Anolis sagrei: one gene and its partners. The protein of the gene in region 4 binds, or shares a complex with, the protein of the main gene of each other region. Links are inferred from orthologs where the notes say so. Each region holds a gene or a part of one and is shown on either strand. Other genes may lie near its edges.

Region 1 (7,112 bases), about 190 Mb from region 4:
AGGCAATATTGAAAACCCAAGAAGATATAAACCAATTGGATAAAGAAATCTCCTAGTTTCAATATAGACAAATCAGAGAATATTACATCAAAGGTAAGAAAATGGATTCATAGAAAAAGAAGTATTTTGGGACAAAGTTTTGATGACACAGAATAAATCAATAACTAAAATATTTTTTAAAAAACCACTAGAATGATCCACAGAAACCAAACAAACAAAGGAATGCATGATCAAATGGGCGGCAAATATTGGACATTCATTTAAGTTAGAGGTGTGAGAAAATATGTGAAATAAGAAATTAAAATGGACATATCCCTATGGTTTAAAGGAGAACTGGTTAAAAATTATATACAGATGGTACACCACCCCTCAGAAATTGGCAAGAAGTTATCCAAAAACGAATGATAAATGTTGGAAATGCGAGGAGAAGTGAGTTCCTTCTATCATATGTGGTGGACCTGCAAAACAGCTAAACAGTATTGGAAAGGCATTCAGGAAGAGACTCAGAAGATATTAAAAACAAGTATACAATTTAAGCAGAGCATTTCTTATTGGGAATGATAGACATGGGAATGGAAGAAAATAAAGAAAGACTCGTCAACTACCTGGTGACAACGGCTAGAATGAACTATGCACGCTATTAAAAGAAATACCGACAAAGGCGCAGTGGATTTTGAAAATTATGGATATAATGAAAATAGAAATTTTAACACAGATAATGAGCATTAACCAAGCAAAAAAAAAGAGAAAAATAACAGACTGGTCACTAATCAAAGAATACATGACTCAAGAAAACATCACTTTGCTAGTGAATATGTAAGAAGATTCACCAAGCAAGCAATGTCATCAAAGGAGAGAGAAGAAAGAGAGAAAGCAGAGCAAAGTTAAAATATTGGGAAACAAAGGAAGATGAAAACACTAGAGAAGATGGGAAGTCAAACTCTTCAACCGCCCCCCCACCCATTCCCAAGTTATCACCCCAACTTCCCCTTTATAAATCCTCCATAGCCCCTCTGTAGATCCCCCTCTAGTTGTAGTCTTTGAGGCAGTGTTTCACAACCTGGGAGTTGGGACACCTGGAGAGGTTGCCAGGAGGTGTCAGAGGGGTCGCCAAAGAGCATAAAGAAAACATAGTATTTTCTGTTGGTCATGGGGGTTCCATGTGGGAAATTTGGCCCAATTCTATCATTGGTGGGGTTCAGAATGCTCTTCTCATTGCAGGTGAACTATAAATCCCAGCAACTACATCTCCCAAATGTCAACTCTGTTTTCCCCAAACTTCACCAGTGTTCATGTTTGGGCATATTGAGTATTTGTGCCAAGTTTGATCCAGACCCATAATTATTTGAGTACACAGTGCTTTCTGGATGTAGGTGAACTACAACTTCAAAACTCAAGGTCAATGCCCACCAAACCCTTCCAGTGTTTTCTGTTGGTCATGGGAGTTCTGTGTGACATGTTTGGTCCAATTCCATCATTGGTAGAGTTCAGAATGCTCTTTGATTGTAGGTGAACTATAAATCCCAGCAACTGCAACTCCCAAAAGACAAAATCAACCCCCAACCCCCAACCCCACCAGTATTCAAATTTGGATGTATCGGGTATTTGTGTCAAATTTGGCCCAGTGAATGAAAATACATCCTGCATATCAGATATTTAGATTATGATTCATAACAGTAGCAAAATTAAAGTGATGAAGTAGCAATGAAAATAATTTTATGGTTGGGGGTCACCACAACATGAGAAACTGTATTAAGGGCTCGCAGCATTAGGAAGGTTGAGTAACACTGCTTTAAGGGGACATCTCTAGATACACCCCACCCATCTTGATGCCTACTCCACCAAGTTAACCTAACTCCCTCTTTTTTTAACCCATATTTCTGTACACATAATTCACTAATAAAATTATTTCAAGAGAGAGAGAGAGAAGGAGGAGAGACAAGAACAGCAATATGATAGCTTACTTACTTATTTACTTAGGCGATCCCTCGTTGTCTGAGTAAGATTGTCTTCCAAGATCGATGTATTGCCCGTGGGTCCGTAGGTGACTGTGGAGCCCTATTCTTTATCTGCATGTTCTACCGTAGTGAGGGCATTGGTTTCCAGGTGAAAGGCGGTCCCGGTCAGGGTTGGCTTGACACGCCTTCCTCTTGGAACGTTTCTCTTTCATCCTCCATTCATGCCTCTTCAAATTCTACAGTACTGCTGGTCACAGCTGACCTCCAGCTGGAGCGCTCAGGGCTTCCTCAGTGTCTATGCCAGAGTTTTTAAGGTTGGCTTTGAGCCCATCTTTAAATCTCTTTTCCTGTCCACCAATATTCCATTCCGTTTTCCATTCTTGAGTTCAGAGTAGAGCAACTGCTTTGGGAGATGGTGGTCGGGCATCCGGACAACGTGGCCGGTCCAGCGGAGTTGATGGCGGAGGACCATTGCTTCAATGCTGGTGGTCTTTGCTTCTTCCAGCACACTGACGTTTGTCCATTTGTCTTCCCAAGAGATTTGCAGGATGTTTTGGAGGCAGCGCTGATGGAATCGTTCCAGGAGTTGCATGTGACGTCTGTAGACTGCCCATGTCTCGTAGGCTTATAGCAGGGTTGGGAAAACAATAGCTTTATAAACAAGCCCCTCGGTCTCCCTACAGATGTCCCGGTCCTCAAACACTCTCTGCTTCATTCAGAAAAATGCTGCACTCGCAGAGCTCAGGCGATGTTGTATTTCAGTGTCAATGTTGACTTTTGCGGAGAGGTGGCTGCCAAGGTAGCGGAAAGTGTCAACATTTCCTAATGTTACATGATTAAGCTGTATTTCTCGTATTGCAGAGTGATTGGCTGGTGACTGCTAGAAGAGCACTTTAGTTTTCTCGATGTTCAATGACAGGCCGAGCTTCTCATATGCTTCTGCCAAGGTGTTTAGAGTGGTTTGTAGGTCTTCTTCTGAATGCGCACAGATGACGTTGTCATCAGCATACTGGAGTTCTATAACAGATGTTGTTGTAACCTCGGTTTTGGCTTCCAGTCTGCTGAAGTGAAATAGCTTGCCATCTGAGGAAGAGCACTTTGGTTTTCTCGATATTCAATGACAGGCCGAGCTTCTCGTATGCTTCTGCGAAGGTGTTTAGTGTGGCTTATATAGGTCTTCTTCTGATTGTGCGTAGACGACGTTGTCATCAACATACTGGAGTTCTATAACAGATGTTGTTGTAACCTTGGTTTTGGCTTCCAGTCTGCTGAAGTGAAATAGCTTGCCATCTGAGGAAGAGCACTTTGGTTTTCTCGATGTTCAATGACAGGCCGAGCTTCTCGTATGCTTCTGCGAAGGTGTTTAGAGTGGCTTGTATAGGTCTTCTTCTGAATGCGCACAGACAACATTGTCATCAGTATACTGGAGTTCTGTAACAGATGTTGTTGTAACCTCGGTTTTGGCTTCCAGTCTGCTGAAGTGAAATAGCTTGCCATCTGAGGAAGAGCACTTTGGTTTTCTCGATGTTCAATGACAAGCCGAGCTTCTCGTATGCTTCTGCAAAGGTGTTTAGAGTGGTCTTCTTCTGAATGTGCACAGACGACATTGTCATCAGCATACTGGAGTTCTATAACAGATGTTGTTGTAACCTCGGTTTTGGCTTTCAGTTTGCTGAAGTGAAATAGCTTGCCGTCTGTCCGATAGATGATTTCCACTCCGGCGGGAAGCTTCCCATCAACAAGATAAAGTACCATAGCAACGAAGACGGAGAATAAAATTGGGGCAACAACACATCCCTGTTTGACACCTGATTCCACCTTAAATGGGTCACTTTGGAAGCCATTGCTGTCCAAGACTGTTGCCACCAAATTAGCTTTACTTCCTCTTTTGTTTTGACCCATATTTCTGTACACATAATTCACTATTAAATGATTTCAAGAGAGAGAATGCAATATTCCTGCTTCTTGGCAGGGGGTTGGACTGGATGGCCCATGAGGTCTCTTTCAACTCTTTGATTCTATGATTCTATAAGAGAGAGAGAGAAGAGGGAGACAAGAACAGCAATATGATAGCAAAGAAAACCTCGCCTCAGGAAGAGAACAAGCAAATGAGAGCCCGGAACGCTTCTGCGCGGGGAGCGGTTTCCGGGGGGACTTGCCGGAAGTGGCGCACAGCCGCTGCCTTGAACGCGCGTACAACGCTACTGCTTGTTCCAAACGAGGAGGCACCTGGACCTGGAGCCACTTCCTCTGTCCGCGCGCTCTGCTGGGGTTCTGCAGGTGAGGAAAGGCCTAAGCCATTCGGCTGCAGTCTTCTAAGCAGAGAGAAGGCGGGAGAGGCTGCATTGAGGCATTTGGTGAAGAGGTGGGCGAAAGGTTTGGGATGGGAGTGTCTCTGCACCAGGCCTGGGCCAACTTCGGCCCTCCAGGGGTTTTGGACTTCAACTCCCACAATTCCTAACAGCCGGTAGGCTGTTAGGAATTGTGGAAGTTGAAGTCCAAAACCCCTGGAGGGCCCAAGTTGGCCCAGGCCTGTTATGTTTTGCTATCCTGTGTTCCCTGGTGGGGATTTTCCAACATATATTTATCCAGAGCACTCAGATGCTCATAGATAGGCAATGCCCATAATATAGGTATGTATATAAAGTCAGAAATGCTGCAGTAGCAAAAGCAAAGTATTTTTATAATATGTAATGTTTAGTTTAAGAGGCTATGGTCTAAAACAGGCACGGACAAACTTCGGCCCCCCAGGTGTTTTGGACTTCAGCTCCCACAATTCCTCAGCCTTTTTTTTTTCGTGTCAGGAGCGACTTGAGAAACTGCAAGTCGCTTCTGGTGTGAGAGAATTGGCCATCTGCAAGGATGTTGCCCAGGGGACACCCGGATGGTTTTTAAAAAATGTTTTACCATCCAGATGGTTTTTAAAAAATGTTTTACCATCCTTATGGGAGGCTTCTCTCATGTCCCTGCATGGGAAGCTGGAGCTGACAGAGGGAACTCATCCACACTCTCCTCCGAATTCAAACTTCCGACCTGTTGGTCTTCAGTCCTGCCGCTTCTGGTGTGAGAGAATTGGCCATCCGCAAGGATGTTGCCCAGGGGACACCCAGATGGTTTTTTAAAAAAATGTTTTACCATCCTTGTGGGAGCTGAAGTTCTCTCATGTTCCTGCATGGGGAGTTGGAGCTGACAGAGGGAGCTCATCCGCATTCTCCTCCAAATTCAAACCTCCGACCTGTTGGTATTCAGTCCTGCCGCTTCTGGTGTGAGAGAATTGGCCATCTGCAAGGACGCTGCCCAGGTGATGCCCAGATGGTTTTTAAAAAATGTTTTACCATCCTTGTGGGAGGCTTCTCTCATGTCCCTGCATCGGGAGCTAGAGTTGACAGAGGGAGCTCATCCGCACTCTCCCCCAAATTCAAACCTCCAACCTGTTGGTCTTCAGTCTTGCCACTTCTGGTGTGAGAGAATTGGCCATCTGCAAGGATGTTGCCCAGGGGGACACCCAGATGGTTTTTTAAAAAAATGTTTTACCATCCTTGTGGGAGGCTTCTCTCATGTCCCTGGATGGCGAGCTGGAGCTGACAGAGGGAGCTCATCAGCGCTCTCCCCCGAATTCAAACCTCCTACATACAATAAGTTCCAAAACTATTTTTTCCCAAGTTCTGCGCAGAAGTGCCCTAACTTTACTGTGAACAACTAGGGACAGATATGTTTAGCTACACTTAGAAATATGGACTATTGAATCTAAGTTTGATTTACCAAGATGATTATGATGTTCTTGAAATGCAATGGTTATGGTAACTTTGTGGCAGCCTGGACTTTGAAGCAAATATCTAGGCCCACCCAAATTAGAATGAACACAGCCATCCTCAAACACAATGCCAGTTTAATCATAGTTTGACATAAGTCTTATAAGACTATTTGAACAAAGCAGTATAGTGCACATTACCAGCCAAAGGGAGGACCTCTAGTATTTCTTTAATACTGTTAAATCCCCACAAACATTATCAGTGCTCACCACTATTGGAATACCTTTGAGGATGGGTTGAGAAAGGATGGCAGAGTCCCCATTTAGAGGAGCTGGCGATTCACACCAGTAGCACTTCAAAGGAAGCTTTCTTCAGTCCTTCTGGCACAAGGATTTAACCCATTGTGCCACCAAGGGATCCTTCTCACAGCCAGTAGGCTGTTAGGAATTGTGGGAGTTGAAGTACAAAACACACGGAGGGCCAAAATTTGCCCATGTCTGATCTGAATCCAGTTTTGTTCCCAATACCATTGATTAAAGGCTTCTGAATCAAAATCTAACAATCGGATTTAAGCATAAGCACTATTGAGGTTGTGTAAAGAATATTTTACTTATCTCTCCTACTTTATAGCATTTGCAACTCAACATTGATAATTAATATATTATGTATTAATATTTAATAATAAATAGTTTTCTGGGGTAAATTACTCAAATTATACATATGTCCAAGATATAGACTGTTCTATGGATTTGTAAATTAATATGTTTTTTAATAATAATAATATATTTCTACCTCACCACCATCTCCCTGAAGGGACTCGGGATGGCTCACAAAAGTACTGTGAGTACTGCATATAAAATGAACAATACATAAGTTTAGAAAACACCACATCATTCTATAAACAACAAACACACATAAGACCTCATCTAGTAAAATTGTAAGAATTCATAAAATGCAGTTTTAATGTTCAGATTTACACTATTATTTAAAAACAGTATTCTATCAACAATTTACCATATTTGTTAATTATTAAGATAGAGAGTAGGAGAAAAAAATCAGCAATTGACTAGAAGCAGTAGCAAAAAAAGTTATTTTTAAACAGAGCAGAACAATACACCAGCTGTGTACAAAGCAAATATGAACCTTAATCAAAATACCTTGCCCATGATTTAGAACTGTATGACAATTTGTTTCCCCTTTTTTGAAGTGCATGGTGTTTGTACACTTCATAAAGTACTCATTGGGTCAGAATCATGTACAGTCTGTATAGAACAATACTGTCATAACAGTGTTCTACAAAACTTTCTTGCTTGAATTCCTCAGTTAATAAACATGTCACAGAAAAATGCTTGTATTCAAAATTATTGAAGTTTGGTTAATTAGTATTGCCGCTGATTTACAT
Region 2 (7,091 bases), on a different chromosome or scaffold from region 4:
CCTCCAGGCAGCAACAGCCAGGTTTTGCAGCTGCAGAGCTACTCAATTGCTAATCAAGCTGGCTAATTGTTACAGTTGCTCCAAACACACAAGGGTTCTTTGCCCTACCCTGGACATATATATATATATATAAAGTTTACTTACATATTAGGCCTGTCAGTTTTAGTTCGTTAATTCGTTATTTTGTTATAAAATCGTTATTTTTGCATATCCGACGCGATTTCAAAACATATTTTCAAACCCGGAAGGGTTTAAAAATATCGAAACAGCAGCCCCATTTTTTTTACGAGCTGAAGCTCCGCTCGTTAATGGGATGGAGGCTGCTGTGCTGCTGGTGCCCGGCTGCTGCGCCCTCCTCCTCCTCCTCCTCCCAGCTGTGTTGCAGGAAGTGCCGGGACTCGGGAGGAGGAGGAGGAGGAAGAGGGCGCAGCAGCCGGAGCCGATCGGATGGCGCGCGCGCTCCTGCGCCCTCTTCCTCCTCCTCCTCCTCCCGGCACTTCCTGCAACACAGCTGGGAGAAGGAGGAGGAGGAAGAGGGCGCAGGAGCGCGCGCGCCATCCGATCGGCTCCGGCTGCTGCGCCCTCTTCCTCCTCCTCCTCCTCCCGAGTCCCGGCACTTCCTGCAACACAGCTGGGAGGAGGAGGAGGAGGAGGGCGCAGCAGCCGGAGCCGATCGGATGGCGCGCGCGCTCCTGCGCCCTCTTCCTCCTCCTCCTTCTCCCAGCTGTGTTGCAGGAAGTGCCGGGAGGAGGAGGAGGAGGAAGAGGGCGCAGGAGCGCGCGCGCCATCCGATCGGCGAGGAGGAGGAGGAGGAGAAGCGGGCGAGAGACGAGAGAAAGGCCGAGCGCGGGGCCACAGGCCCTACAAGCTGAAGAAGGAGAAGGTGAGGAGGGGCCCCTCTCCCCAGCAGGGAAGGGCTTGGCGCAAATGGGAGGGGAAGCAAGGCTGGCCGGGCCTCGCAGGGAGAGAGCCAGGAAGGCAGGCCTCTTCTCTGGGCCTTGGATGGGCCACTGCAGCAGAAGCAATTTGCCTTTCCCATGGCAAGAAACAGGATTTGCAGCCATGCCAGCCCAGTCCCTCCCCAGCACACAAACATATGTCTATTTGCCCTACATCTCTATCTTTTAGGCCTGTTTGATCAAGAAAAAATTTGTTTCTAAAATGTTTTGTAAATATTTACGAAATTTCGTAAATAACAAAACATTTTTTTGGAAAGTTTTGTAAATATTTTAAATATCGAAACAAAAAAACACCCCAATTAAGAATCGATTTTAGAAACAATTTTTTTCTTGATCAAACAGGCCTATTACATATATATATACCCCGTACATCTGGTCATCGGACTCTGGAACACCCTCCCCAAAGACATTAGACTAGCACCCACGTTCGTTGGCCAGGTCTTCAAATTCTTCCTAAAGACTGCCAAAGTGGGTGCTAGTCTAATGTCTTTGGGGAGGGCACATAGGATAATCTCCAGTACTATGTCCCAGAAGCACTTTATCAAAGTTTAAGACTCTCTGCACATTGCACTTGCCCAGAAATCCAACATGCTATTTGCCACACCCTGCACTTTTTGTAACTTGTACCGGCCCGGCCCTGGTTTTTATTGCGTAATAGTGTAATGTTTTGTTATTGCTTATGTTTTTATTTGCTTTGAAGTGTACTGTTATTGTTTTGCTGTTGTTGTGTTGAGGCCTTGGCCTATGTAAGCCGCATCAAGTCCTTCAGGAGATGCTAGTGGGGTACAAATACGGTTTAATAATAATAACTAGCTGTCCCCTGCCACGCGTTGCTGTGGCCCAGTCTGTTCATCTGGAAAATAAAGTAATGAGAAAGTGTTGGTTTCTAATATATGTAATTTCTTTATGCTTGTGGGTAAACAGTATGTCTTGCTGTTTCTTTGCCAGTGTTGATGTGGAGAGTGTCTGGTTTGCCCACCCTGGAACATGCAACATATAATTGTCCTTCTTTAAGGGTCCCTTTCAAATCTAGGATACTATATGTGTGTGAATCATATCTATCTGTCTATCTATCTATATCTATGGCTGGATGGCTCTTTGTCAGGAGGACTTTGATTACGTTTTCTTGCCCTGGTGAAGGGAGTTGGACTGGATTTTCTGTTGGTCATGGGGGTTCTGTGTGGGAAGTTTGCCCTGATTCTGTCATTCGTAGGGTTCAGAATGCTCTTTGATTGTAGGTGAACTGTGAATCCCAATGATTACAACTCCCAAATGTCAAGGTCTATTTCCCCCAAACTCCATCTGTGTTCATATTTGGGCGTATTGAGTGCTTGTGCCAAGTTTGGTCCAGATCCATCATTGTGCTCTCTGGATGTTAGTGAACTACAACTCCCAAACTCAAGGTCAATGCCCACCAAACCCTTCCAATTTTTTCTGTTGGTTATGGGATTTCTGTGTGCCGAGTTTAGTTCAATTCCATAGTTGATGGAGTTCAGAATGCTCTTTGATTGTAGGCAAACTATAAATCCCAGCAACTACAACTCCCAAATGACAAAATCCGAATTTTTTGAGTGATGGTTACTCCTTGCGTTGTGAGATGTTTTGTTGCCAAATTTGGTGTGATTTCGTTCATTGGTTCTTTTGATTTTAAGGTACTTATTATGCACAGAGCATTTATATATATATAGAAGATAGATAGATAATTGGCCGTAATAAAGTTTACTTACATATATATATATGTAAGTAAATATAGGTAAGTAAACCAGATATATATATATATGTAAGTAAACTTTATAAACTAAACGTCAAAAAAACCAAGATTATGGCAACAAGAATGATTGACAACTGGAAAATACAGGGAGAAACCGTGGAGGCCGTGACAGACTTTGTATTTCTAGGTGCAAAGATTACTGCAGATGCAGACTGTAGCCAGGAAATCAGAAGACGCTTACTTCTTGGGAGGAGAGCAATGTCCAGTCTCGATAAAATAGTCAAGAGTAGAGACATCAGACTGGCAACAAAGATCCGCCTAGTCAAAGCCATGGTATTCCCTGTAGTCACCTACGGATGTGAGAGCTTGACCTTAGGAAAGGCTGAGCGAAGGAAGATCGATGCTTTTGAGCTGTGGTGTTGTAGGAAAGTTCTGAGAGTGCCTTGGACTGCGAGAAGATCCAACCAGTCCATCCTCCAGGAAATAAAGCCTGACTGCTCGCTGGAGGGAAAGATACTAGAGACAAAGTTGAAGTACTTTGGCCACATCATGAGGAGACAGGAAAGCCTAGAGAAGACAATGATGCTGGGGAAAGTGGAAGGCAAAAGGAAGAGGGGCCGACCAAGGGCAAGATGGATGGATGGCATACTTGACTGACTTGACTTGACTGACCATACTGGACTGACCATGAAGGAGCTGGGGGTGGTGATGGCCGACAGGGAGCTCTGGCGTGGGCTGGTCCATGAGGTCACGAAGAGTCGGAGACGACTGAACGAATGAACAACAAATATATATGTTAGTAAACCAGATGTCTAGGTTAGGACAAAGACACACATACACTCCACTCCAAAGGCACACATACACTCCACTGGTCTCATTTCCAACAGACCTCTGGGGATACTTGCCACAGATGCAGGCGAAACGTCAGGAGAGAATGCTACTGGAAGATGGCCATCTAGGCCGGAAAACTCCCAGCAACCCAGTGATTCCAGCCATGAAAGCCTTCGACAACACATTATACAGACTCCGTTCCATGCACAAAATCATTCAAAAGATCCTGTATAAAATTACCTTTAGGTCATGTGTATAAGATGCATATGAAACATAAATGAATGTCGTGTTTAGACTTGGGTCCGATCTCCAAGCTATCTCAGGAGGTAGGCGCAAGCAAAGATGCCGCAATCCACACTGTTCCTGGGCCCCCAGGCATTTTGGATCAGGGACACTCAACCTCTAGCACCGTCTGAGGCACGTGGCCGGCAGGGCAAAACAAAGAACGCACGCGACCGCTCTTCCGCCAGTGCGCATGCGCTTCTGTCCTCCGTGTTGTGCCTCGCATCCTGTTGGCCCCGCCCCTTGCTCAGGGGCTCGGTTCTACCTTCTTTCCTTGCCCGGAAGTGACGTTAAGAAAGGGGGCGGGATAAAAATCACCGAGAGCGCCGGGAAGTTACTTCCGGTTCCCCTGACATTCCCGCCTCTTCGAATCCGGTGAGCGGAAAAGAAAGAAAGAAAGGAGTGTGTGTGTGAGAGAGAGGACAGAGAAAGTCTAAATCAAGTCCTGAAGCCTCCGGGGAAGGAGTTTGGCGGCAGAGAGAGAGAGAGAGAGAGCGCGAGTTGACGTGGTTCCTTTCCTGTTTGGTTCGCGGCCTACTCTTCCGGTAGGTTTTTGGAAGGGGTCGTCATGGAAACAGCTCCCCCTCCCCTTTTACCTTATGTGTCCCTCCATTAACCTGAGCTGCACCCACCTCTCTTCCCTCTCTTTGTCTTTGCGAGGGCAGCATGGCGGCAGAGTGACCCAGCTCTGAGCGGGAAAAAGTTCACCTGAGGGGTGAAGTCTGACAGGATTTGAGTCTTTTCGGTGTATATGGCATTCCCAATGTTGTCTGCCTGGAAGGAGTAAAAACTTCAGAAGAAAGTTTAGCCTGAAGAAGAGAAGGCTGAGAGGGGATATGATAGCCATGTATAAATATGTGAGAGGAAGCCACAGGGAGGAGGGAGCAAGCTTGTTTTCTGCTTCCCTGGAGACTAGGACGCGGAACAATGGCTTCAAACTACAAGAGAGGAGATTCCATCTGAACACGAGGAAGAACTTCCTGACTGTGAGAGCCGTTCAGCAGTGGAACTCTCTGCCCCGGAGTGTGGTGAAGGCTCCTTTGGAAGGTTTTAAACAGAGGCTGGATGGCCATCTGTCAGGGGTGCTTTGAATGCAATTTTCCTGCTTCTTGGCAGGGGGTTGGACTGGATAGCCCATGAGGTCTCTTCCAACTCTTTGAATCTATGATTCTAAGAGTGCCTCATGAGGAAAGTCTGGCTGACAAGAAAAGTGTGGAACCAAAAGCTGACTCAGTGGAGGGTGTCATACTTTGGGTATATTGTAAGAACACAAAAAGCCTTTCTTACTGGGAAAGTGAGCTTGCGTGGCACTTTTGAGACCTCACTGAGAAAAAGTTTAGTTCAAGCATTTTATTTAATCATATTAGCCCTCTTTCTCTCTCCATATGGAGACGCAAAGCAGCACACAATCCAAAATTTTATGTCAAATATATAAATATAAAATAATAAAACAAGATATCTTTATATATTATCAGTAGTAATTATATATGTAATATTTTAGTATTACTAGTCAAAGCCATGGTATTCCCTGTAGTAACCTACGGATGTGAGAGCTGGACCTTAGGGAAGGCCGAGCGAAGGAAGATAGATGCTTTTGAACTGTGGTGTTGGAGGAAAGTGCTGAGAGTGCCTTGGACTGCGAGAAGATCCAACCAGTCCATCCTCCAGGAAATAAAGCCCGGCTGCTCACTGGAGGGAAGGATACTAGAGACAAAGTTGAAGTACTTTGGCCACATCATGAGAAGACAGCAAAGCCTAGAGAAGACAATGATGCTGGGGAAAGTGGAAGGCAAAAGGAAGAGGGGCCAACCAAGGGCAAGATGGATGGATGGCATCCTTGAAGTGACTGGACTGACCTTGAAGGAGCTGGGGGTGGTGACGGCCGACAGGGAGCTCTGGAGTGGGCTGGTCCATGAGGTCACGAAGAGTCGGAGACGACTGAACAACGAATGAACAACAACATCACAATATTGTCATTATATGTTATTATATTGCATTAATTACTTAGGCGATCCCTTGTTGGCCGAGTAGGATAGTCTTCCAGGATCAGTGTCCTGGCGGTGGGTCCGTAGGTGACTGTGGAGCCCTATTCTTGATCTGCATCTTCTCTCGCAATGGTTTCCATGTGGAAGGCGGTCTTGGTCGGGGTTGGCTTGACGCGCCTTCCTCTTGGCACGTTTCTCTCTTTCACCCTCTATTCGTGCCTCTTCAAATTCTGCAGCACTGCTGGTCACAGCTGACCACCAACTGGAGCGCTCAAGGGCCAGGGCTTCCCAGTTCTCAGTGTCTATGCCAGTTTTTAAGGTTGGCTTTGAGCCCATCTTTAAATCTCTTTTCCTGCCCGCCAACATTCTGTTTTCCATTCTTGAGTTCAGAGTAGAGCAACTGCTTTGGGAGACGGTGGTCGGGCATCCGGTCCAGCGGAGTTGATGGCGGAGGACCATCGCTTCAATGCTGGTGGTCTTTGCTTCTTCCAGCACGCTGATGTTTGTCCACTTGTCTTCCCAAGAGATTTGCAGGATTTTCCAGAGGCAGCGCTGATGGAATTGTTCCAGGAGTTGCATGTGACGTCTGTAAACAGTCAACGTCTCGCAGGCATATAGCAGGGTTGGGAGAACAATAGCTTTATAAACAAGCACCTTGGTATCCCTATGGATGTCCCGGTCCTCAAACACTCTGCTTCATTCGGAAAAAATATTGCATTAAGGAAATAATGAATAAAGGAAATAATCTTATATCTTTTCTAATACTGTTCTAGCAGACTTGTCTTTTATTGCTATTTGCTCTGATGCTAATGGGCTGTGTGACTTCCTCCTGGCATCTCTTCAACTTTCTAACAGGAATTTCCACTTCCACTTAATAGTTCCCTCTCTCTCCTGTTTCACTGGTTGCTTTCACACACTGTGATTATACCCATCCTTCTCAATAACACCTGCTGCTCCCATTTAGTCGATTTTATGACAGACAAAACATGACTTGTGTCTATCTTGAGGGGAAAGTCATATGCCTTGTCATTCTATAGCACACTCAGGTTTCCCCTACATACTTCCAACACATGGTGAACATGGATATACAGAGACTGTGGTTTTTAGAATGAAATTAGAATTGACTTGAAAACTATTCTAATATTTAGTTGTGAAAAAGCCCAAAATCTGCTATTTTACTATTATTGTATTTATTTATTTCCGTTACTTCTACCCCACCATTCTCACCCCCAAGGGGGGACTCAGGGCAGCTTACAAAGGAAGGCACAATTTGATGCCTATGTCAAAAATACATACATACATAAAAGCAATTAAACAGTGAAC
Region 3 (7,981 bases), about 580 kb from region 4:
AGTTAGACAGAAAATTAAGAAGCAAATTAGCAAAGCAAGAAAGGTGAAATTAATCAAAAATAGGTTAAGGTTAGATTTTATTCTACAGGAACTATTGCCTAGGCTGTATTTTTCATCTTGTAATGATCAGCTAGCTATGTGTGAAATCTATCAATTCCACCTGTTATTAGTTCCCCATGGACGTTTGAAATCATCAATAATTGATACACTTTTATCTTTCAAAAGTTTTTGCTTGAAAGACATGGTTATTTAAATTTAAAAAATACAGCCTTGATTACTACAAGGTACTTTCTGGGTCAGGAATTACGGGAATGAATTGCAGTTGATTCAAGTACCTGTGGGGAGTGATGGGATACAGCTTAACTTTGATTTTGTGCGAAAAGACAAGCCGGTGGTTTTACAAATCCTTAAAATTTAAAAGAATGGCTATTCAAATGCCTCCTAGACATATAACCTAAAGTCAAAAAGAAATGGGGAAAAACATCAGTGATATATTCCATAGTGAGATGACAGCTCTCTAAAACTGAAAGGTCAGCCTTGAGAATCATTCAACCAGTCTTCCATTAAGTCTAATGATGCTTCTACACTGTAAAATCAATGCAATTTGACAGTACTTTTACTACCATGGATCAATGCTTTGGAATTCTAGGAGTTATAATTTTACAAAGTCTTAGGCTTCTCTGCCAAAGAGTGCTGGTGCCTCACCAAACTATAGTTCCCAGGGTTCCATAGATTGGCAGTAAAAGTGGCATCAAACCATTAATTTTACAGTATAGATCAGGCATGGGCAAACTTGGGCCATCCAGATGTTTTAGATTTCAACTCCCACAATTCCCAATGTGGGAATTGAAGTCCAAAACACCTGGAGGGCCAAGTTTGCTCATGCCTGGTTTAGATGCACCCCAATAAAGCACTTAGAACCATACTTGAGTTGTATCTTACACAATGAGCCCCCGGTGGCACAGTGGGTTAAACCCTTGTGCTGGCAGGACTGAAGACCGACAAGTCGGAGGTTCGAATCCAGGGAGAGCGTGGATGAGCTCCCTCTGTCAGCTCCAGCTCCCATGCGGGGACATGAGAGAAACCGCCCACAAGGATGGTAAAACATCAAAACATCCAGGCGTCCCCTGGGCAACATCCTTGCATATAGCTAATTCTCTCACACCAGAAATCACTTGCAGTTTCTCAAGCTGCTCCTGACATGAAAAAAAAATCTTACAGAATAAATCAAACATGCTGAAACATTTTAGACTGAAATATTTAAGCTTGGAATGACATGTCACTCCACCTGCTGTCGGGGTCATATTGGAACAAATAGTGCTGATGTTTATTTAACTGGCAGAGCGAGTCACTGGGCTCCTGAGGCCACTTAATTCAGGATCCTTTCATGATTGCATTTCATAACAACTCCTGATGCCAAAACTCAGTTTGACTCCGCATGCAACAGCACATTTCCGCACTCAGGGCAGCATCAGATTTCGGCAGCGGTGTATTTTTAGGCTGACTCCCACAGTCGCGGGACCTTCAGAATTCAGGACACAAGGATCTGAACTGAATTGTAATGCAAGGGATGCATCTACATGGGAGAAGCAACACAGTTTGATAGCACTTTTAAGTGCCATGGATCAATGCTACTGAATTCTGGGAGCTGGAGTTTAACCAAGTCTATAGCCGACTGTAGATTTGCGTGAAACCCAATGGAACAGATCGACGACAAATCGGATAAAGGAATAGTCCACTGTGCCTATGAGTGTTGGTGCCGAGACATTAACCTTGGGGGCATCCAAGAATGAATGCAGTTTGACACCATTTTAACTGCCATAGCTGAATGTTAGGGATTCCTGGGAGATGGACTTTAATGAAGTCTATAGCCAACTATATATCTGCATGAAACCCAAAGGAACATTGGGTGCATCCACACTGTAGAATGAATGCAGTTTGACACCACTTTAACTGCCATGGCTCAATAGAATAATGGGAGATGGAGTTTAGCAACGTCTATAGCTGACTATATATTTGTGTGAAACCCAAACAAACAGATTGACGACAAATCAGATAAAGGAATAGCCAACTGCGTCTATGCCGTTGAGGCTGCGACATTAACCTTGGGTGCATCCACACTGTAGAATGAATGAAGTTTGACACCACTTTAACTGCCACGGCTCAATGCTATGGATTCCTGGGAGTTTAATGAAGTTTATTTATTTATCGACTATAGTTGTATAGTTGTATTTATCGACTATAGTTGTATACCACTTTTCTCAGCCCACGGGCGACTCAGTTTACAGAGGCATAATACAATGCCCAAACATCAGAAAACATTTAGAAACATTTAGAACATTAACATATTATATACAATCATAATAAGGTCAATAAAACATCAATCATAAATCATGACCTTCTGAATTCAGGACACGACGATCTGAACTGAATTGTGATGCAAGGGGTGCATCTACATGGGAGAAGCAACACAGTTTGATAGCACTTTTAAGTGCCATGACTCAATGCTACTGAATTCCAGGAGATGGAGTTTAACAAAGTCTATAGTCGACTGTAGATGTGCGTGAAACCCAATGGAGCAGATCAACGACAAATCGGATAAAGGAATAGCCAACTGTGCCTATGGGCGTTGATGCTGAGACATTAACCTTGGGTGCATCCACGCTGTAGAATGAATACAGTTTGACACCACTTTAACTGCCATGGCTCAATGCAATAGAATCATGGGAGTTGTGATTTCACAAGGTTTTCAGCCTTCTCTGCCAAAGAATGCTGGTGCCTTGGCAAACTACAACTCCCAGGATCCACAGCATTGGTAAAGTGGTGTCAAACTACATAGATTATATAGCAGGCATGGGCAAACTTGGGCCCTCCAGGTGTTTTGGACTTCAATTCCCACCATTCCTCGCAGCCTCAGGCCCCTTCCTTTTCCCCCTCAGCCACTTAAGCGGCTGAGGGGGAGAAGGAAGGGGCCTGAGGCTGCGAGGAATGGTGGGAATTGAAGTCCAAAACCCCTGGAGGGCCCAAGTTCACCCATGCCTGTTCTCCAGTGCCTGGAATATCATTATGCCAAGAGGTCACACTGTAGAACTGATGCAGTTCGACACCACTTTCCCAGCCCTTGCTCAAGGCTGTGGGATTGTGGGAGTTGCAGTTCCTTGCAGCACTCTTTGGCAGAGATGGCTACAAACCCTGTCAAAGTACAACATCTCCCATGGCTTCACGCCTTTGAGGTGGGATGGTGTCAAAGCTGCACTCAGTTCTCCAGGCTGAGAGAGCCGAAGGAGGAGGCGACAGCAGCAGCGACTCACCTGCTCCCCGCGCGGGGCTCTCCGGGGAGCCGCGACGACAACAGGGAAAGGCCGGCGGTGGCGGCTCCCAGGACTAGGAGGAACCCGACCAGCGGCTTCATGGCGGAGCACCAGCGATGAGTCCTGGGGAGGCACGAGAGGCGGAACTGAAAGCAGCGGGCAGAGGAGCCAGCGGAGCAGAAAAGGGCGGGCACTCCTGGCGCTCCAAGCCGCGCCCCGCCCCTCTCGTGAGTCTTAAAGGGCCAGAGACCCAGGATTTCCAGGATGAAACACCAATCCCTGAATTCTGTCGCACTGGCTTCTGGGAAATGAAGTCCAAAAAACCAAAAACAAACATAAGGTTGAACGGTGGCGCAGTGGGTTAAACCACTGAGCTGATGAACTTGCTAACTGAAAGGTCTTAGGTTCGAATCTGGGGAGCGGAATGAGCTCCCGCTGTCAGCCCCAGCTTCTGTCAATCTAGCAGTTCGAAAACATGCAAATATGAACAGATCTGGGTTGTTGTATGGCCATGTTCTAGAGGCATTCTCTCCTGACGTTTCGCCTGCATCTATGGCAAGCATCCTCAGAGGTAGTGAGGTCTATTGGAACTAGGAAAAATGCGTTTATATATCTGTGGAATGAACAGGGTAGGGCAAAGAACTCTTGTCTGTTGGAGCTAGGTGTGAATGTTTCAGCTGACCACCTTGATTAGCATTTGATGGCCTGGCAGTGCCTGGGGCAATCTTTTGTTGAGAGGTGATTAGATGTACCTGATTGTTTCCCCTCTGTTGTTTTGCTGTTGTAATTTTAGAGTTTGTTTAGAGTGAAACATGCAAATGTGAACAGATCTGGGTTGTTGTATGGCCATGTTCTAGAAGCATTCTCTCCTGACGTTTCGCCTGCATCTATGGCAAGCATCCTCAGAGGTAGTGAGGTCTATTGGAACTAGGAAAATTGGGTTTATATAACTGTGGAATGACCAGGGTGGGGCAAAGGACTCTTGTCTGCTGGAGCTAGGTGTGAATGTTTCAATTGACCACCTTGATTAGCATTTGATGGCCTGGCAGTGCCTGGGGAAATCTTTTGTTGAGAGGTGATTAGATGTGTCTGATTGTTTCCCCTCTATTAGGTCTAGTGGAACTAGGAAAAATGGGTTTATATATCTGTGGAATGACCAGGGTGAGACAAAGGACTCTTGTCTGCTGGAGCTAGGTGTGAATGTTTCAACTGACCACCTTGATTAGCATTTGATGGCCTGGCAGTTCCTGGGGCAATCTTTTGTTGCGAGGTGATTAGATGCGCCTGATTATTTCCCCTCTGTTGTTTTGCTGTTGTAATTTTAGAGGTTTTTTTAAAGAGTGAGTAGATCAATAGGTACCGCTACGGCGCGCCAGGCAGTCATGCCGGCCACATGACCTTGGAGGTGTCTACGGACAACACCGGCTCTTCGGCTTAGAAATAGAGATAAGCACCACTCCCCAGAATTCGGACAAAACTGGACTTAATGTCAAGAGGGAAACCTTTACCTGAATGCCACATACAGAATTGGAACGTATTTGAGGCGTGTGAGGGATTTGAGTTAAGGAAACTAAAGTATTTCCCTTTCACAGGTGTGCTTTTCTCTCCTTATTGAAAGCGTGGCTACGTCACTTCCTCAGCGCCCCGTCGCTGGCCAATGACGTGCTTCCGGCCCGGTCGCTGCGGCTGAGGCCTATGCAGCAATGGCTGCCCGAGGCTCTGCGCTGGTGGTTCTCCCCAAGGCCCACTTGCCGCCGGGAGGCGCCGCCTGCTCGGCCGAGGAAGAGACGGTACCTCCTCTTTGGGCGGAGCGGGCCTTCCAAGGGGTTTCGGAGGGGAGTTGCCCGGCCAAAGAAGAGCCTTCCCCGAAGGCCTCCCTCTCTCAGGCCCCTTCCACACAGCTGCATAGAACCCCATAGTATCTGCTTTGAAGTGGGGTATATGGCAGTGTGGACTCAGATAGCCCACTTCAAAGCAGATATTGTGGATGGTCTGCCTTGATATTCTGGGTTATGTGTTTGTGTGGAAGGGCCCTCGGACAGTTTGACCTCACCAACTACACCTGGCAGTTTGGTGCACTAACTACACCAGGTATGGGCAAACCTGGGCCCTCCAGGTGTTTTGGACTTCAACTCCCACCATTCCTCACAGCCTCAGGCCCCTTGCTTTTCCCCCTCAGCCGCTTAAGCGGCTGAGGGGGAAAAGGAAAGGGCCTGAGGCTCTGAGGAATGGTGGGAGTTGAAGTCCAAAACACCTGGAGAGCCCAAATTTGCCCATACCTGAACTACACTGTGGAAATAAGGCACTTTGACTTCACTCAATAATACAAAAACATGGGAGTTGTAGTTTGGTGAGGCGCCAATACTCTTTGGCAGAAAAGCCTAAAGACCTTGTAAAACTACCACATCTTCCATGATTCTGTAACATTAAACCAGGGGTCCTCACTTTTTAAACAGAGGGCCAGGTCACAGTCCCTCAAACTGTTGGAGGGCCGGATTATAATTTGAAAAAAACATGAATGAATTCCTATGCACACTGCACTAGGTGCAAAACCCACTTAATACAATAATTAAAATGAAAAACAATTCTAAAAATATAAACTTATTAGTATTTTAATGGGAAGTGTGGGCCTACTTTTGTTTGATGAGATAGGATTGTTGTTGTTGTGTGTGCTTTCAAGTCATTTCAGACTTATATTGACCCTGAGTAAGGGCCAAGTAAATGACCATGGAGGGCCGTATCCGCCCCCTGGGCCTTAGTTTGAGGACCTCTGCATTAAACCATGCAGTTAAAGTGGTGACAAACTGCATTCGTCCAACAGTATAGATCAGGCATGGTCAAACTTCAGCCCTCCCAGTGTTTTGGACTTCAATTCCCACACTTTCTAATAGCCAGTAGATAGTGGTTCCCAACCCATTTGGGGTCTCCAGGTAGCAGTGAGCTATGAAAAAATTAAGAAGGGAAATCCATAACCGTGTCCTGCACAGCGATTAGTTTGCATGTATTCTACAGTCAGATCTCAAGTTACAAACATGCAACTTATAAACGACTCATAGTTAAGAGTATAACTATGACAATAAATGACATAGTAAGAGTGAGGATGAGACAATAGGAGAGGAGAGAAATCTACCCCAGGAAGGGAAATTCACTCCTGAAAGAGTTATCATGGGGGAAAGGTGTCTCTACTGAAGCTTTCTCACCAATCCTTGTTTCCACAACAAGCTTTCTCCCCCCTCCCCCCCCCCCAAATTTTTTCAATTATCGCCAGGACGGAAAGTCCACAGACAGCAAAACAAACACTATAGGAGTGTTAACACTTCCCTATGCTATCCAAAGCTATATAATATATATCTGTGAATGGAGAAATATTTGGTTTGTGTTGGTTCTCATAATATATATCATTTCCTATACAGTATATGTAATGAAGCTGTGTCCCAGTATTGTTATTGTTTGAGACCATATGGACATGTAACTATGCAGCAATCTTGCAATATATGTGGTAGATTGGAATTTTTTTTGTTCATATCAAGAAAGTAGATTAATCAAGTAATACGAAAATACTGTTTTTTGATGTAATGAAGTCAAGAATAACTGCTGCAGGCATGCATCGTCTTAATGGTTACAATTAACAAATTCCACCTTTCTTATATGCTGCAGGTCAGTTGGGTAACCCATACATTGGTATTGAGTATTGTTATAAGGAAAACCTCCGGGTTAGCAGATGTGACCATCAAGTTTGTAGATATGTACAGTGACTGTTCGGTAGCTGTAAAATGGTGCCTGTTATGCCTGAGAGCATGGTGTTTTTGGAGATTGGTACTTCAAGCTGAGAAAGAAAGATTCCTTGTTTCTCAAATTAATTTGTCTTTTTCTCTTCACAGCATTCAGTCTAATCCAGAAGACTTTGAACATGAGCAAATAAAAAGGCAAAAACTTGGTAAATTACCCCTGTTCAATCACTTTTCATATGATTGTAAACCTTGAAAGAAAAGAGCAGAAAGAGCAAATGCTTGAAATAGATCATAACAATTACTAGTAGTAGCCTGTAATTATGTTTATATAGTGAATTGATGTTGTTTGAATAAGGCCCGGATTAAGAAGAGGAGAACATTGTAAAAATACATGTTTGAGAACTATTGACAGTAATTTGCTATATGTTTGTGACATAGAGATAGTAAAGAACATTGTACTGCCCTAAATGTTCTTGGAATCCATTTGTGTAATCCATTGACTCAATCCTCTAACATAGTCAAAATTACATGAATGTCAGAAAAAATCATAACCCAAAGAAGGACTTCCTGTGGGAGTTTTCCCTTGTGACAGTGATACTGTATTGTACTGTATGAGATTTAGGATGTGAGTTTTCCTTTGACTTCCGTACCAAATTTCCTAGATAAATGATGTGTCATTTAATGTTATTAACTCTTTCCAGGTATTTTTGGTATGTTGGCAAGGGGAATTGCCAATTTAATTACACTCCCGTCCCAGTTGGCATCCAAATATCTTCAGACAGAAGAACAGCATGCAGAAGCCAAAGATGAGGTTTGTTTGCTTTTTGAGATGATAGGATCTTCTTATTGAAGCCAAATTAAATGCATAGAACTATTGTTTTGGCAGAGAGTAGGATGGAACTGAGTATCTTACAGTTAGTAATTCCTATTGTAATCTAA
Region 4 (7,480 bases):
CTGTGGACTCAAGCAATGATGTATCTGGACCAAACTTGGCATGAATACTCAATATGCCCAAATGTGAAAACTGGTGGATTTTGAGGGAAATAGACCTTGACATTTGGGAGTTGGAGCTACTGGGATTTATAATTCACCAACAATCAAAGAGCATTCTGAACTCCACCAACAATGGGATTGAACCACTGTTGGCACACAGAACCCCCATCGTGGATCGGATTAACTTGTGGTCTGTCCAGCAGTCATCAGCACCTGTCATAGCTCTTGTGAGAAGCACATTGCGGTGGTCCCTGGCACATGTAATTACATAGTCTAAAAGGTGTCAATGATTTGATCGGGGGTGCTTCCATGATGTCTTGAGCTTGTTTTTCTGGCAGAAGAGCATGTTGGTGATGACAAGGTTGTGTTCCGCAAATTTGGTGAGAAGCAGTATGCCATTCAAGTTGCTGTTTCCAACCCCATATTTTCCTATGGTCCCTGGCCACAAGTCAAAGCCTCAACCAATTCTTGTGTTAAAATCCCCCAGGGGGATAATTTTGTTCTCCTTACAAGGTGCAGTATTATAGCGATGAAGATGGAAAATAAGGTTGGGGCAATAACACATCCCTGTTTGACACCTGATTCCTCCTTAAATGGGTCACTTTGGGAGCCATTGCCAGCCAAGAGTGTTGCCATCATATCATTGTGGAGGAGCTGCAGGATGTTCACAAATTTGTCAGGGCACCTGATTTTTTGGAGGATGGTCCAGAGAGCACTGCTATTCACTGTGTTGAATGCCATTGCGAGGTCAATGAATGCCATGTAGAGAGGATGATTTGTTCCCTGTATTTTTCTTGGAGCTGTCGTGCAGTGAAGATCATGTCCACTGTTCCTCTGCCGGGGTGGAAGTCATTCTGGTATTCTGGGAGAGTGTCTTCTGAGACAGGTAGAAGGTGGTTTGCAAGGATTCTTGCGAGGATTTTCTCAGCAGAGGTTAGAAGTGAGATACCTTGATAGTTTCCGTAGTCTGTTCTTTCCCCTTTTTTGAAAAGGGGGGTGATGGTGGCATCCTTGACGTCTGCTGGGATTTTCTCAGACTCTCACACTTTTTCAATGAGCTGGTGTAGTTGTTGTGTCAGCTCACCTATAAAGCCGTAAACAGTTTGGGACCTGCCTATCTTCGTGACCGCATTGTACCCTACGAACCTGCACAATCTCTAAGAACTTTTGGGGAAGCTCTCCTCTACTCCTATCCCTGTCATAAGTGCAGTTGGTGGGGACAAGAGAGAGGGCCTTTTCTGTAGTGGCCCCCTGGTTCTGGAACTCTCTCCCCAGGGAGATTAGACTAGCACCCAATCTGTCCACTTTCTGCAAAGAACTAAAAATGTGGATGTTCCATTGTGCTTTTGACTAGACAGTTCCCCTGATACTTTTGTCCCCAGCTATGATCCAAAACCAATTCTTGCACATTGCCACTGTTCCCCAACTAGAGATATCGTGCTCTCTTTACATTGCTCCCCATTTCCTAACGTTGTCATCTGGTTTCAGGACTTTACCCATTATCCATTATATTCATCCACAGCATCTTCCAAATCAATGGGGGTGCTGAAGCCTTCTAAAGCAGTTTCTTCCAAAGCATCATCATCCCATCCTTGTAAATGATTTGCACCATCCCACCTCCCCAACCTCAGAACTTTGCACTACTCAGACCATTGGTGGTTTGCTTGATTATTGTCTTATATTGTATTATATTGTATTATGCGTGGTTGTTTTTATATTGTTTTAAATTGTCTTTATGAATGTTGTTGTGTTATATTTTAACCATATTAAGTTCGGGCTTGTCCTCATGTAAGCCACCCAGAGTTCCTTCAGGGAGATGGAGGCGCGGTATAAAAATAAAGTAGTTATTATTATTATTATTTGAAACACAACAAGATGAGTCCACAATAAACAAGATCACTCTGCTGGCTGTTGTATTGGATCACACGTCGGACATTTCCAAGTGTCTAGGACTGTGTGATGTATCGGCGAATAATGCGTGCAGATCCCAGTAAGGCGGCCTTTTGCAGCTGGCAGATGGTAATTTTGTCAGCGCCTATTGTGTTAAAGTGCAGGCCAAGGTCTTTAGGCACTGCACCCAGTGTGCCAATCACCACTGGGACTACCTTTACTGGCTTGTGCCAGAATCTTTGCAGTTCGATCTTTAAATCCTCATATTGTGTCAGCTTTTCCTGCTGTCGCCTGGGATTGCCACATCAACAATCCATACTTTGTTTTTTAACACGATCGTAAGGTCAGGCGTATTGTACTCCAAAACTCTGTCAGTCTGAATTCTGAAGTCCCAGAGTAGTTTGACGTATTCATTTTCTGTAACTTTTTCAGGCTTGTGATGCCACCAGTTCTTTGTTGCAGGCAGATGGTGTTTGTGGTACAAGTTTGATTGTTTGGTATGGCAAAATATTATTAATATTATTATTATTAGCTCAGGTCCACCCTCTTTAAATATTTCAGCAGGGATCCCATCAGGTCCGCTGGCTTTGTTATTCTTTTGTTGGCTGATGGCATTACTGATTTCTTCCAAACTAGGCAGTGCTGCAAGCTCATCCCTGGTTTGTTGTTGCATGATTTATAAGAAAATCTCTTTGGCCACATTGGAGCTGTGATTCAGGAGGCTTTGGTAGTTCTCTTTCCAATGTAGTGCCATTGATTTTTTTTTTTTTGTCCTTCAAAAGCTTGGCTCCATCTCATGGGCATAGAGGGTATATGCCAAGAATTCTTGGTCTCTCGATGACTTTTGTGGCTTTAAAAATCCCTGAGCATCATGGGTATCTGCAAAGTGTTGGATTTCTTCAGCCTTCTTTGTTCACCAGATGTTCTTGAGCTCTCTGGTCCTTCTTTGGCTCTCAGCTTTTGCACTGTTAGAATTGTGGGAGTTAGAGTCCAAAACACCTGGAGGGCCAACATTTGCCCAGGCCTAATATGGATGACTTACATTTAGCACTGCATAGGCCTGCTTTTTTATTATTCATATTTATTGAGGTTTTTCTGAAATACACTTAAAAGAGGGGGAACATATCAGGTGTATAGGAAAGTAGGAAATACAAGCAGGGATGTTTTTATATTGTTTGTTTATTGTTATATTGTTTGTTATATTGTTGTATTGGCTGCATTGTTTATTACTGTTGATTGTTATATTGTTCGCTATATTGTTTATTGTTATATTGTTTGTAATATTGTTATTTTGGCTTCATTGTTATTGTTTATTGTTATATTGTTTGTTTTATCGGCTGCATTGTTTATTGTTATATTGTTTGTTATATTGTTATATTGTTTGTAATATTGTTATATTGACTGCATTGTTTATTATTGTTTATTGTTATATTATTTATTGTTTGTTATATCGGCTGCATTGTTTATTATTGTTTGTTGTTATATTGTTTATTGTTTGTTGTTGTTATATTGGCTACAATGTTTATTATTGTTTATTGTTATATTGTTTGTTATATCGGCTGTATTGTTAATTATTGTTTATTTTTATATTGTTTGTTATGTTGTTTATTGTTTGTTATATTGTTATATTGACTGCAATGTTTATTGTTTATTGTTACATTGTTCGTAATATTGTTATATTGGCAGCATTGTTTATTGTTTATTGTTATATTGTTTATTGTTTGTTATATTGTTATATTGGCTGCAATGTTTATTGTTTATTGTTACATTGTTTGTAATATTGTTATATTGGCAGCATTGTTTATTATTGTTTATTGTTTGTTTGTTATATTGGCTGCATTGTTTATTTTTGTTTATTGTTATATTGTTATAGTGGCTGCATTATTATTGTTTATTGTTATATTGGCTGCATTGCTTATTATTGTTTATTGTTATATCATTTGTTATATTGTTTATTGTTTGTTATATCGGCTGCATTGTTTATTATTGTTTGTTATATTGTTTATTGTTGTTATATTGGCTGCAATGTTTATTATTGTTATATTGTTTATTATATTGTTGTTTGTTATATTGATTGTTAATTATTGTTTATTGTTATATTGTTTGTTATATTGTTATATTGGCTGCATTGTTTATTGTTATTTATTGTTATATTTTTGTTTGTTGGTTAATGTTTGTTATATTGGCTGCATTGTTTATTATTGTTTATTGTTTGTTATTGTTCGTTATATTGGCTGCATTGGCCAATATAACATTTATTTCCTTCAGTGAAGACTATTTTTCTGAAGGAAGAAGTCACAAAGAAGTGATGTTTTGTAACGTATTTACTGATTTAAGCACACACCCACACCCACACAAGAGAGGCTCCTCCCCTTCTTCTTCCTCCCGCGCTGGAAAGCATGCCTCTCCCACCCACCCATCCTTCCTTCCCTCCCTCCCTTCCGCCGCATTCAGCCGGCGATGACGCACACAGCCGGGCGCGCTCCCGAGGAAAAGAACCCCGCTCGGGAGCGCGCCTCGGGGGCGAGCGCGGCCCCCCACGTGGCCCCGCCGGGAGCCAATCAGGAAGCGGGGATTGTGGGGCGCCAAGCGCGTGCTGGCGGGCAGTTGCTGCGGGCGGGATTGAAGAGAGAGAGAGAGAAGGGGAGATTGAGAGAGAGAGGGAGACGGGCTTCGGAGGTGCTTCTTTCCCTCAGCGAAGCGTCGCCATGTCCGAGGAGAAGCCAAAGGTGAGTTAAATCAGCGGGAGGGAAGGAGGCAAGGATTGGCCTCCATCATCCTCACCGCCGCCTTCTTCTGAGGGGAAAAGTGCGGCCTTCCTTTCTCTCAGTGAGGGAGAAGCCAGGCCTTTCCTCGACCCGGAAGAAGAACGGCGAGGCGGGGGTGGAGTGCTGTTAGGCCTCAGGGCTTGCCTCTCTCGCATCTTTGGCATCACCCACGCGTTATGGGATTTGTAGTTCCTCTTGGGCATGGGAGGCCTTGTGGTGATACAACTCCTATTGAGCCTTCCAAAGTGGCGCCAAACTGCATTCATTTTCGCCCTGATGTTTCTGATAGTTTATTACAGGCCTGGGCCAACTTGGGCCTTCCTCCAGGTGTTTTGGACTCCAACTCCCACCATTCCTAACAGCCTCAGGCCCGCTTAAGCGGCTGAGGGGCAAAAGGAAAGGGCCTGAGGCTGTTAGGAATGGTGGGAGTTGGAGTCCAAAACACCTGGAAAGCAGGCCCAAGTTGGTCCAGGCCTGCTTCACAATATTGTGAATGAAATTCCTTTTTTTGCATCAATGCATTTTATATTCATTCTCAAGCCCCATCTCCCAAGGTATCTCATAATGCATATATGCAAATATCCTTCTACTCCCAAGCCTTTTAAACTGTCTCTTAAGCCTCCAAACTGCAGCTCGACTCCCACAAAAGCGCGCGAAAGAAAAGCCCTCCCTGCGCATCCTTGCTTTGTGGAATCACCATCCAGGCCTACAAACCGGTTTGGAAATTACCTACACAGAGAAACCTCTTTCTTCAGTACTAGCATTACTAAATAGTCATGTTATACTTGATCTGGGACACCAAAATGCCCCAAAATTGGATTTCTTTGGCCCGTTCCACACAGCTGAATCAAATTCCACATTTTCTGGTTTGAACTGGGGGCCCTTCCACACAGCCCTATATCCCAGAATATCAAGGCAGAAAATCCCACATTATCTGAGTGTGGGCTCGGATAACCCAATTCAAAGCAGATATTATGGGATTTTCTTCCACACAGACCTATATCCCAGAATATCAAGGCAGAAAATCCCATGTTATCTGAGTGTGGACTCAGATAAACCCAGTTCGAAGCAGATATTATGGGATTTTCTTCCACACAGCCTTATATCCCAGAATATCAAGGCAGAAAATCCCACATTATCTGAGTGTGGAGTCAGATAAACCCAGTTCAAAGCAGATATTATGGGATTTTCTTCCACACAGGCCTGTATTCCAGAATAACAAGGCAGAAAATCCCACATTATCTGAGTATGATAACCCAATTCAAAGCAGATATTAATGGGATTTTCTTCCTAGATATTCTGGGATATAGGGCTGTGTGGAAGGGCTCTGGGATATAGGGCAGTGTGGACTCAGATAACCCAGTTCAAAGCAGATCTTGTGGGTTATTCTGCCTTGATATTCTGGGTTATATAGCTGTGTGGAAGGGCCCTGTGCGTTTTCCGGGCTGTATGGCCATGTTCCAGAAGCATCCTCTCCTGACGTTTCGCCCACATCTATGGTGGGCATCCTCAGAGGTTGTGAGGTCTGTTGGAAACTAGGCTAGTGGGATTTATATACCTGTGGAATGGCCCAAGGTGGGAGAAAGAACTCTTGTCTGCTGGAGGCAGGTGTGAATGTTGCAATTGAACCACCTTGATTACCACTGAATGGCCTTGCAGCTTCAAAGCCTAGCTGCTTCCTGCCTGGGGGAATCCTTTGTTGGGAGGTAATTAGCTGGCTCCAAAATTGTCTATGTGTTTTGAATGAAAGAGTGATACCTGTGCATCTTGATGGTTCACTGCAGCCAGTCGTGTTCATGCAGCATATTATTTAAGGTTTGTGTGTAAAATGGACCTTAAGCGTCCATTAATTTCTTGTTCTGGACTATGGGCCCCAGCTCAAAGACGGTTCATTATGTGTATATATCATCAGATATTCCCAAATCCAAAACTCTTCTTGTCCCCAGCATTTGGGATAAGGCAGACATGGGCCCTCCCAGTGTTTTGGACTGCAACTCCCACAATTCCTTACAGCCGGTAGGAATTGTGGGAGTTGAAGTCCAAAACACCGAGAGGGTCGAAGTTTGCCCATGCCTGGGATAAAGGATACTCTTGGCCCTTCCACACAGCCATATAACCCAGAATATCAAGGCAGGAGATCCCACATTTTCTTCTTTGAACTGGAATATATGGCAGTGTAAACTCAGATAACCCAGTTCAAAGCCGATATTGTGGGATTTTCTGCCTTGATACTCTGGTTTATACGGCTGTGTAGAAGGGCCCCCATTTTCCACCTTGAAGTTGTAATGCCTTGCCTCTTGCTGAGTGAACCGAGGAAGCAATAAAAGATGAGAAGAAGGGACTGCTTCCCTCCCCGGAGCTCTTATTGTCAAGGGATGGCGATGGCGTGCGACCACCACGCGGCTTCGCATCAGCCTAGACTTCCCTTTCCTTTTCCCTCCCTCTTTCGTTTCCGTTGGAAGTAGGGGAGCCGCTCTGGGATTCATGTTGTCTTCCCTACTGGTTTCCTTCGGATTTAGATCCCTGCCGCCCACGTGCTTGTGCATCCAGCGCTTTACTCTGGGCGTTAGATTCCTCTGCTGCACAAAACTTAAAGATATATGAGCCCCTTCTACTTTTCACTCAGGCAACCCTAGCTTCCATAGATTCGCCTTCCCTAGTTTAATCATTGTGCAGTGGAAAGGGGAGGGATATTATAGCATGTAAGGAAGAGATTAACACTTATCTTCTCCAGTTGGAAATTGGCTATTTCTATTTATGGCAGAAAGTCCATTGGCATCAGT

What was found.
Region 1: the proteins of small ubiquitin-related modifier 3 (region 4) and USPL1 are in contact, whole or in part, in a crystal structure (PDB 7ZJU), measured with the Homo sapiens proteins. The link is inferred for Anolis sagrei from reciprocal best matches to the Homo sapiens genes SUMO3 and USPL1. Residues at the interface, in NP_008867.2 of Homo sapiens: Gln24, Asp25, Gly26, Ser27, Val28, Arg58, Arg60, Gly63, Gln64, Pro65, Ile66, Asn67, Asp70, Leu75, Phe86, Gln87, Gln89, Thr90, Gly91; in NP_005791.3 of Homo sapiens: Ala234, Cys236, Trp237, Pro321, Gln322, Leu323, Arg324, Met330, Glu331, Ser332, Val334, Phe335, Leu339, Tyr368, Thr378, Thr380, His393, Phe394, Gly395, Pro396, Asn398, Arg407, His421, Val423, Tyr451, Asn454, Asn455, His456, Phe457, His493.
Region 2: the proteins of small ubiquitin-related modifier 3 (region 4) and SENP1 are in contact, whole or in part, in a crystal structure (PDB 6NNQ), measured with the Homo sapiens proteins. The link is inferred for Anolis sagrei from reciprocal best matches to the Homo sapiens genes SUMO3 and SENP1. Residues at the interface, in NP_008867.2 of Homo sapiens: Gln24, Ser53, Arg55, Gln56, Arg58, Arg60, Asp62, Gly63, Pro65, Asn67, Thr69, Asp70, Gln74, Glu76, Asp84, Phe86, Gln87, Gln88, Gln89, Thr90, Gly91, Gly92; in NP_001254523.1 of Homo sapiens: Gln440, Asp441, Glu446, Arg449, Leu450, Thr451, Lys455, Trp465, Leu466, Asn467, Asp468, Glu469, Asn494, Thr495, Phe496, Lys500, Arg511, Trp512, Lys514, Lys515, His529, Gly531, Val532, His533, Trp534, Gln597, Gly600, Ser601, Asp602, Cys603.
Region 3: the proteins of small ubiquitin-related modifier 3 (region 4) and SENP2 are in contact, whole or in part, in a crystal structure (PDB 2IO1), measured with the Homo sapiens proteins. The link is inferred for Anolis sagrei from reciprocal best matches to the Homo sapiens genes SUMO3 and SENP2. Residues at the interface, in NP_008867.2 of Homo sapiens: Arg55, Arg58, Arg60, Phe61, Asp62, Gly63, Pro65, Asn67, Asp70, Leu75, Asp81, Asp84, Phe86, Gln87, Gln88, Gln89, Thr90, Gly91, Gly92, Val93, Pro94, Glu95; in NP_067640.2 of Homo sapiens: Gln385, Asp386, Phe393, Lys394, Leu395, Arg396, Trp410, Leu411, Asn412, Asp413, Glu414, Ser439, Thr440, Phe441, Pro444, Lys445, Arg456, Trp457, Lys459, His474, Lys476, Val477, His478, Trp479, Met497, Gln499, Gln542, Asn544, Gly545, Ser546.

What each region holds. Positions count from the first base shown.
Region 1 is NC_090023.1:32,671,896-32,679,007, forward strand, and holds the start of USPL1 (SUMO-specific isopeptidase USPL1), read left to right. Parts: upstream 1-4,112; 5' UTR 4,113-4,238; intron 4,239-7,112. UniProt on the Homo sapiens protein: SUMO-specific isopeptidase involved in protein desumoylation. Specifically binds SUMO proteins with a higher affinity for SUMO2 and SUMO3 which it cleaves more efficiently. Also able to process full-length SUMO proteins to their mature forms.
Region 2 is NC_090022.1:186,967,584-186,974,674, reverse strand, and holds the start of SENP1 (sentrin-specific protease 1), read left to right. Parts: upstream 1-4,081; 5' UTR 4,082-4,328; intron 4,329-7,091. UniProt on the Homo sapiens protein: Protease that catalyzes two essential functions in the SUMO pathway.
Region 3 is NC_090023.1:222,744,852-222,752,832, forward strand, and holds the start of SENP2 (sentrin-specific protease 2), read left to right. Parts: upstream 1-4,972; 5' UTR 4,973-5,006; coding exon 5,007-5,101; intron 5,102-7,192; coding exon 7,193-7,248; intron 7,249-7,743; coding exon 7,744-7,853; intron 7,854-7,981. Other genes in the region: TMEM41A (transmembrane protein 41A), read right to left, coding at 3,312-3,412. UniProt on the Homo sapiens protein: Protease that catalyzes two essential functions in the SUMO pathway.
Region 4 is NC_090023.1:223,327,743-223,335,222, forward strand, and holds the start of small ubiquitin-related modifier 3, read left to right. Parts: upstream 1-4,473; 5' UTR 4,474-4,637; coding exon 4,638-4,658; intron 4,659-7,480. UniProt on the Homo sapiens protein: Ubiquitin-like protein which can be covalently attached to target lysines either as a monomer or as a lysine-linked polymer. Does not seem to be involved in protein degradation and may function as an antagonist of ubiquitin in the degradation process.